Oryzias latipes: one gene and its partner. The protein of the gene in region 1 purifies or fractionates together with the protein of each later gene. This does not show direct contact. Links are inferred from orthologs where the notes say so. Each region holds a gene or a part of one and is shown in the gene's direction. Other genes may lie near its edges.

The links. The genes of interacting proteins can lie anywhere in the genome.
Region 2: the proteins of tsen15 (region 1) and tsen54 purify together in Homo sapiens (affinity purification with mass spectrometry; 4 studies listed by BioGRID and IntAct, counting the BioPlex papers as one, with this or other methods). This does not show direct contact. The link is inferred for Oryzias latipes from reciprocal best matches to the Homo sapiens genes TSEN15 and TSEN54.

What each region holds. Positions count from the first base shown.
Region 1 is NC_019875.2:13,673,630-13,677,783, reverse strand, and holds the start of tsen15 (tRNA-splicing endonuclease subunit Sen15), read left to right. Parts: upstream 1-1,347; 5' UTR 1,348-1,465; coding exon 1,466-1,525; intron 1,526-1,606; coding exon 1,607-1,688; intron 1,689-2,294; coding exon 2,295-2,430; intron 2,431-2,511; coding exon 2,512-2,715; intron 2,716-3,938; exon of another isoform or gene 3,939-4,154. UniProt on the Homo sapiens protein: Non-catalytic subunit of the tRNA-splicing endonuclease complex, a complex responsible for identification and cleavage of the splice sites in pre-tRNA. It cleaves pre-tRNA at the 5' and 3' splice sites to release the intron.
Region 2 is NC_019866.2:1,089,338-1,093,638, forward strand, and holds the start of tsen54 (tRNA-splicing endonuclease subunit Sen54), read left to right. Parts: upstream 1-1,494; 5' UTR 1,495-1,557; coding exon 1,558-1,610; intron 1,611-2,451; coding exon 2,452-2,610; intron 2,611-3,820; coding exon 3,821-3,884; intron 3,885-3,961; coding exon 3,962-4,045; intron 4,046-4,118; coding exon 4,119-4,217; intron 4,218-4,300; coding exon 4,301-4,301.

The sequences.
Region 1 (4,154 bases):
CCTTAAATCACAAATTGTAGCGTTTAGAATGAAATGGTTAAAAGATTGTATTTCCCAGCCTCATTCTATGTGGTATCATATCCCAAACAAACTCTTTGAGAAAGTCAGGGGACTGGAGTTTTTGTTGAAATGCGATTATAATCTATCAAAAATGCCAATGAAACCATCAAACTTTTACAAGCATGCCTTAGAATTTGGGAAGATGCTTTTCACTCATAACTTCTTCCCTCACAACACTGTTTTATGGAAAAACAGATTTATAACTGTAAACAAGAAATCCTTGTTTATGTCTGAATGGTATGATAATGGTGTGTGATTTGTCTATGACTTGATGCGCACTGATGGAAGGCTGTTATCATACAATGAGTTTGTAACTAAATACAAAATGAAGGATTCTAGTAACTGTTATAACAAAGTCTGTAAAGCAATTCCCACACCTTCACTCAATCTTATTCATAACATACTACAATACAATGCAACCAAACCACAATTTTTAGAGCGGAAAATTAATGATATTCCCCTAAAAGATAAAAAAAATGCCACAATAAATTAGTAACTCTTTTCTTTATACACAAAGTACCCACATCCACCTAAAATGAAAGAAACGCATTTTAAAATAATATCTAAAATTTACCCTGTTGGAGATTTTTTACATAAAAGATTTAAATTTCAATCGGAACCATGCATGTTCTGTTCATCTGAAACTGAAACGTTAGAATATCTCTTTTACAGTTGCAACCAGATAAAAATATGTTGGACTGATTTTCACAATTGGTTACACAAAGTTTTAATGATTCTCTTTTTTCCTTACCTGATGTTTTTTTCTGTACGGAAAATCTGGACCCGGGAATTTCTGATGTCATCAATGTTGTTATTATTCTATGCAAACATTTCATTAATTTATGGAAATGGTAAAATACATGTCCTTTGTTTAGTATTTTTTTGAATTATTTTTCTGAATATTAGAAGTGTCTTAAATGCATTCCAAACAAAAACAAGAAAACTCCAGTAATTTATCAAAATATAACAAAAGTATTGTTATTTTGAATTGTTTTTTGCCTTGCCTTTGCCTGTTTTTTGTTTTGTTTTTCTACATGCGCATTTATTGCGTTTGAGCGCCCTAACTTGGTTTGTATATGACCATTTATAGAAAAAACACACACACACACAGGGCTTAAACTATTATTGTTGTTTGGTCTTATATGTGTTTTTGATATTAACAATTGTTTCTTTATCGTGCTGCTGAATGTGAATTTCTACAAATTGAAAAACGTATAATAACGTTTATTGAAATAAAAAGGTCCTCCACGCCTCATTGGGGTGCGGAACATAAAGGAAGGAGCGTGTTCCCATCCGGTCGACATTTATTGTAGTACCCATTAAAAATTAAAGCTCAACCTTCCTAGCGAAAACGTGCGGTTATAGTAGTGCGCAAGTAGTTGTATTAAAGGATAAACACTGAAAGATGTCAGTACCTCCGGTGGAGAAAGCTCCACCCGCGAACTGGATCCTGCAGCACCCTGCGGTGAGCGGCCTGGAGCTTGGAGTAACGTGACCGTGAAGGTTCGCTGTGAGCGGAACTAACGGCGGCCTGCCTGTGTTTCAGTACCGGCAGATGGAGGCTCTGGAGCCCGCAGACAGCGCGCAGCTGCACGCTGCCTTTCTGGTGTGCATGGATCTGACTGAGGGTGATGTGATGAAGCCTGGATATGTTTCATTAAATATAAAGGGAGCTTAAATACGTACAAAGATAACAAAGTACAGAAGTGGCTATTAACAAGTTTTAATTTAAGTTTAAAATGCATTAGAATGACTGTGGATTTTGCTTGTATTCCTTCAAACATTTCTAAGTAGCTTCAATTCAAATTTTGAATGAAACCCTGTGATGTTTACAATGTTTTAAATAAGCTGATTTTTCTTCTGTAAAAAGTAATTTTGTATTTAGTTGTACATCTAATTGGTTCAAAAATCCCAAATCATGTTTGTAGATTAAAAAAAGTTAATTTTCATGTAATTTAAACCTTTTTTTTTATTCAGATTTTTTTCACATGTGTATACTTTATTTTTTTGTTACTTTTTTGAATTATTTTTCTGATTATTAATAATAATATATTAGTGTCTTAAATGCATTCCAAACAAAAACAAGAAAACTACAGTAATTTATCAAAATATATCAAAATTCAGTTAATTTTCATTTAATTTAAACTTTTTTTTATTCAGATTTTTAAAATCTGAATAAAATAAAATAAAGTAAAAGGTGTCAAACTATAAAAAGTGAATTTGGTTTCACATAGTGCGTCGCTGGAAGGAGGTGTCGTCCGTCAAAAGTCCGGAGCTGCGATTAATCTTGCTGGAAGGGAAGGAGAAGGATGGGGCCCCGGTTCACACTGTCCTCCCCCTGCCCGCTCATCAGTCCTTGAGCCACAGCAGGTGATGAGTCACCAAATGAGAGTTGGGACTTGAACCGTCGCTCACGGGTTTGTGACATGCAGCTGTTTGTCTCCTGAGCAGCATCTGCAGCGTACTGGACAGGGGCTTCCCCGTACTTTTGTGTGCCGTGGCATCGGACTCCACCCTGGTCTATCAGAGGCTGACGGATGGGCTGGTGACCCCGGAGCCCCCTGTGGGCCCCTTTCAGGATTTGGATCGACGGCAGCATCGCAAGAGGCGACAGCACAGCTTCCAGCAGCACAGTGAGAAGATGAGGGGTAAAAGGTGAAGAAGTTGTTTTTTACCTGACGGGCTACTGGCTGCCATCAACGTATGTTTTGAAACGGAGCTGATGGGTTCATCCTGGAGCAATGTGAATCATTCTAGGGGTACATATGTGGAAGCATTTCCACCGTGGACTGAAAGACCTACATCGATCCCTAAAATGGACACCGCAGACTTCTCTCCCACAGAGCTGCTATTTTATTCAGAGTAGTCAAAAACCAAAGTCATTTTGCCGTTTACCGATGTCAGCGAACGCATCTTCACCAGCCTGTTTGTGAAGCACGTCGATCACTTCTGTTGCCATGACAGTGTTTTTCCAGGATTCTGATGAGCAGAAAGCCAAAACTTTTGGAGTCCAGTGCCTGCGGTTCTGATGAGAAGATTCGTTTTTGCTGTTTGGAATTAAACTCCACTCTGATGTAAAAAAAAAAAAAAGTAAACAGTTTGTTTGACTTGAATACTGTCTCCCTAATTCTTTTAGTAGAAAACAAAACCGTATCCATAAAAAAGGAAAACGAAACCTGCAGACTTAAAAGATAAAGCTTTACAAAGCCCTGACTGGCAGCATTGATCAACCTCTCAGGCAGAAATGATCTAAACCAGCTGTGATCCGTAAATGCACACTTCCCTTCAGTTTTCCCTTTCTGTATTTGTTAATTATGAGGATGCAGATAAGAAAATAACTTTTTGATTCTCAGAGTGGACATCAAGGCCTCAATCGTGTATTTAAATTGCAGAACACCGATGGGGAAAAGGGAGCCAAAGGTTCTAAATCTTTTCTAAGTGCCTCAAAAACGTTGCTTTCCAGTCAAAGAAAAACCAAACTGTAGGTCTTAGTGATGATGGATGGGGCAGAGAAGGTTCTGCTGCAGTCTGGGCTTCTGTCAGTTAAAACCCCTCCATGGTTTGTAGAAAGCTGTGCAATCTGCACATGCACATCTGTCAGAGTTTATCAAGAAAGCTTGTGCAAAGTGTCCAAGAAAGAAACTGTTCTGCTCTTTCTCATATAAGGAAGGCTTTTATTTAGTCATACATGCCTGTAGACAAAATGGCTTTGTGTGTATATATATATATTTATATATATATATATATATATTTGGGTGGGGGCAGTTCAACAGCCTCACTAAACAACGCACATGTTTCAGAACATTTCTGAAAGGGATACGAGTCAAAATCATTCAAAAACTCTGACTTCTGTTTGAAGGAAAAACAACAGCGTCAGCCTGAGGGACAAAAACTGAAACTACTTTTATTCTTCTAGAAAACGGAGGCGGATCTACATTAAAACAGATTACAATAATGAGACACAGGCGGATGAAAGATGTCCAAATGTAGGAATTTGGAAAAACAAAAGCTATTAATAAAAAGCTTTTCATTGCTTTTTGCACAAATATGAATTGTATCCACTGAAGGAGCTCATTTTGATATCAAGTCCTGCC
Region 2 (4,301 bases), on another chromosome or scaffold:
ATTGAAACTTGAATTTACTTTGAGAGCTCTGGTCTTTGTCAGTAAAGAGGCCGTTAGGACATCTGGGATGGAATCAGGTCTGCTGCCTTCCGATGGGACCTTTTAAAATGACAGTATCTATTATAAATGCAGTATCAGCAACTTTTTTTAAACCGTAAATAAACTAATTATCTCTTTTTGCACAGTCACCTCTACAGTACTTATCAATACAATATCGTCAATTGCTTATTAAATAAATGTATTAGAAATTATAGTAGGTATTTTCAATTAAGTAAAATATAATCAAATTATCCAACGTTTTTAAAACAAGGTATTGGCTTATAGGGGAAAATTACGACGGAGTATTAGTGCCACCAAAAAAAAAAAAAAAAAGCCACCAAAAAAAAGAAAGAAGTAAATTTACGAGTTTTTATCTCGTAAATTTAGGAGATAAAAAGTCGTAAATTTACGAGTTTTTATCTCGTAAATTTAGGCGATAAAAAGTCGTAAATTTATGAGAAAAAAACTCGTAATTTTAGGAGATTACAGTGGAAGTGAATATGCATAGCAGCAGGTGAACGCGTGCAGCAGCAAAGCAGACCGACTAAACTTTGTTGAACAGGTGAGCTGAATGTTTATTGATAACGTTCCAAATGTCTGGAAGCTTATTTGTTTGATTTACGATTCATTAAAGTTTTATTTATTGATGGTTGGTTTGCAGGATCTCTGCAGCCCGATGAAGCCATCGGGTGTCCCCGCAGTTGTCCGCTTGAATCCTTTCTTCCTCCACCAAAGACAAGATCTCTATGTCTGTGTGACGCTTCCGTCACACAAAAGGAGGAGCACTTTTTTTGGCATTTTCAATGTTCTAAAGCTAATATAGAAGACAATTTTCATTCCTCTTTATTGTTTTATGCTGAAACAGGACATTTCATCTGCAGGAGGAGGCGTATGTAACACTGTTTACTTCCGCATTGGTGTTCGGATGACAGCTTCATGATGTAATCAGACAGATGAACTTCAGAATATGTGAATGAAAAGGAGAATAAAAGCTGCAGCGATCATCTGCACCCAAACGTGTCTCTGAGCTCCTTATTTTACATATGAAACTCCGCTTTACTGACACTGAACCCCGGAAAGACGGCTACATTGACAATAATCTGATTTTGAGTCGCCAAAAGGTTCAGAATCTCTTTGTTTTAAACCTATAATAATACGGAAATGAAGCTTCACAAAAGGCTCCACATACTTAATCTTCAAGTTACGTTCCGATAAACGGACAACTTCGGTGTTTTTTCCTTAATCTACGACTTTTTTCTCGTAAATTTATGAGATAAAAAGTCGTAAATTTACGAGTTTTTAATCTCCTAAATTTACGACTTAAAATCTCATAATTTAACTTTTTTTTTTTTTTGTGGCCCTAATACTCCGTCGTAGAAAATAAAGAATTCATGTGTTTTTTTAATTGTCTTTTTTTTAGTTTTGTCGCCCTCTGCTGGTTATCTTTAGGTACTGGATGTTTATCAAACACGAGGCACTAAGACCCTGGGGAGGAGTGCGGCTGCGGCCGGAAGCAGGATGGCGGACAGAAAGATGGCCGCGCGCGAGGATTTCTACAACGAAGTTCTCAGGTTAGCAGAAGTCAAAGCAAGCGTCTCCGTTTTTGTTTTTATATATGTTTATTTTCCTTTAATTGCTGCGCTTCTCCACACTAAAATAACTTTGGTTTAATCTATGACTGTTTGTGAAAAGATTAACACTTAGATAAAAACCAATCCTTTCATCAAGAGTTTTAGGCATTTGCCTTATTTCAGCTGGTTTACACTGTTTCTTTAAATTATTATTGTTTCAAATTTATAAACTAGTTTTAACTACGTTTTACGTTATTCATAACTGTGAAATTGACAGGAGTTCTTTCTGAGTTTTCAAGTTTGTTTTAAAGATAAAAATCACCAATTTATGTACAATTAAGTTACATTCTATTCTATTGTAGAATAAAATATAAATGTTTCTTGTTCTTTGTCTTCAGTCTAATCAAATATATAAAAAAATAGATGTTAAAATAGTAAACATATTAAAAATAATACTACAACTAATAACAATAATACATAAATGAACGCATACACGTCCCAGCAGTACAATCAAAATAAATCAAATAAATTGTTAATAAGACTTATAACATGTGGACGAGTAAAAACTATAGCTTCACTAAAAAGATGAGTCTTAAGGTGTTTGTTAAAAACCTCCACAGAGGATGAAACCCTCCCGTCCTCAGGCGGCGAGGCCCGCGGCGCTGAAATGAGGCCTCGCCGTGGCGTGGGTTTAGTTCTGACCTTTTGACACGACATGCAGCACTAGAGGCTGAATCTGTTTCAGTCGTGGTTTTAACCCAGAATTCAAAACGTTTCAAGAGGTCGGACCGAAGATTTCTAGCTGAACTTGAATCTTGGACTCGTCTCTCGCCCTTTCCAGTCCCTCGGAGCTGTTTGCGGCCCGATCCCGCAGTCGGAAGATCCCGGTCCGAGGACAGAAGGACTTCTTCCCGGACGAGTCTGAGGAGCAGAGGCAGCGGCTGCAGCAGAGTCTGGACGAACACTGGAGCCTGGTCTCAGAGGAGAGGGTGGAGCGCCTGTGAGTGCACGCCACCTTCAAACGCATCGAAGGCGTCTGTTCCCACTGCAGCCCCCCCGGTACCGGCCCGTGAGACAGTGACTGGGCCACACAGAAAAAAAACACGGCCCAAAGGAAGCTTCACTTTGGAAAACTCGGTCACATGTCATACTTTCTGAAAGCGGCTGCTCTGAGTTGAAACCAGCAAAACTAACATGAAAGCAAACATACCTGGAAAGTTTCTTTACGCAGAGAAGATCCAGAGAGGAAACAGAAGAAGAGCCTATAACTTCAAAATAAAAGCTGCATTTAACAGACAAAAATATGGAGTCTTCATCCCTAACATGGAATCATTGGGACCATAATAATAATTCAATTCAATTCAATTTTATTTGTATAGCCCAAAATAACTACAACAGTCGTCTCGATGGGCTTCGAAGTAAAACATGAACTCAAAAGGATCACGAATGCAAAGAGTTCAATAGGAAAATACTAAAATGAACTAACAAACTGACTAAGCTATACTGGCATCCCTGCCCTTAGACCCCCCTTCGCGGTGAGGAAAAACTCCCAAAAAAACGGATTCCAGAAAAAACGAAGAAACCTCAGGGGTGCCCACATGAAGGAGGGATCCTCCCCCAGGACGGACAGGCGATTTACCAGAACTCATAGAGAAGAATTAACTTATCTAAATCTACAACTACATACTTTTAATAATAATGCAGAATATTCAGCCATCCGCTCTCTAATGTTACCGGGATGCTGATAATAAAGCTGCGTCCAGCTTGTTGATTGTTATTTTTAGAAAGCATCAGTTTTAGTGAACTTTATTTTCTTTTTGCCGTCACTCCTTAAGGGTCAGAGGTTGAAGTTGGCGTCTGAATCTTTAGCTTTAACCTTTAACCCCCAACTTTGTCAGTTATGGGTTCTTACATGTAGAAATAAAGTTGCAGCTGCGGGTGTTTTACAGAGAATGGAGATAAACTTTAACCACCAAAGTTCTACTGGAAGCTAAAAACAAAAATAAATAAAACCAAACTGGAGATCAGGCCTGTTCTGCCTCAGCGGCACCGATGGTCAGAGCTCCAGCGCCTCCCCAGCAGAAAATCTGTGGCGAAGATTCGCCTCCAATGTCGGTTTTCCACATTTATCCTTGAAACTGGGAGAGTTTTAGCATCAGGAACTGTGGTGCTGGCTTTGGTTCAGCGTCCCTCCTCTTGTCTGTCTGCAGAGGAAACCTGGTGAAAGGCGTGTGGTTGCCGTGCCGGCGGCTGGTGGAGCTGCAGTCTCCTGCCGTGAGTGCTCTCGCTCCGAAGCCCTTGTGCGGCCTTCCTCCCGCGCTCTGCCAGCCGCTCCTGTCTCGTCTTTGCAGGGAAAGTTCTGGCAGACGGCGGGCTTCTCCGCGGACGGAAAGCAGTACCTCCTCCCAGAAGAGGCTCTGTACCTGATGGAGTGTGTGAGTGGAAGCCGCCGGCTCAGGTGCACAGGTGAGGGAACGGGCGCCTGAACCGCTCTCTGTGTGTGAGCAGGGGAGCGTGCAGATCTTCCACGAGGACCTGCCCATCTCCATCCAGGACGGGTACGAGGCGTTCCTGTCTGCAGACACGGTGACCCTGCAGCAGTTTCAGGTGCTCCTCGGTGACCCGCTCCACCCTGCTCCACCCACCGGTGGTCTGCAGGTCCATCTAAGCGCTGTCCCGTCTGCCCACAGG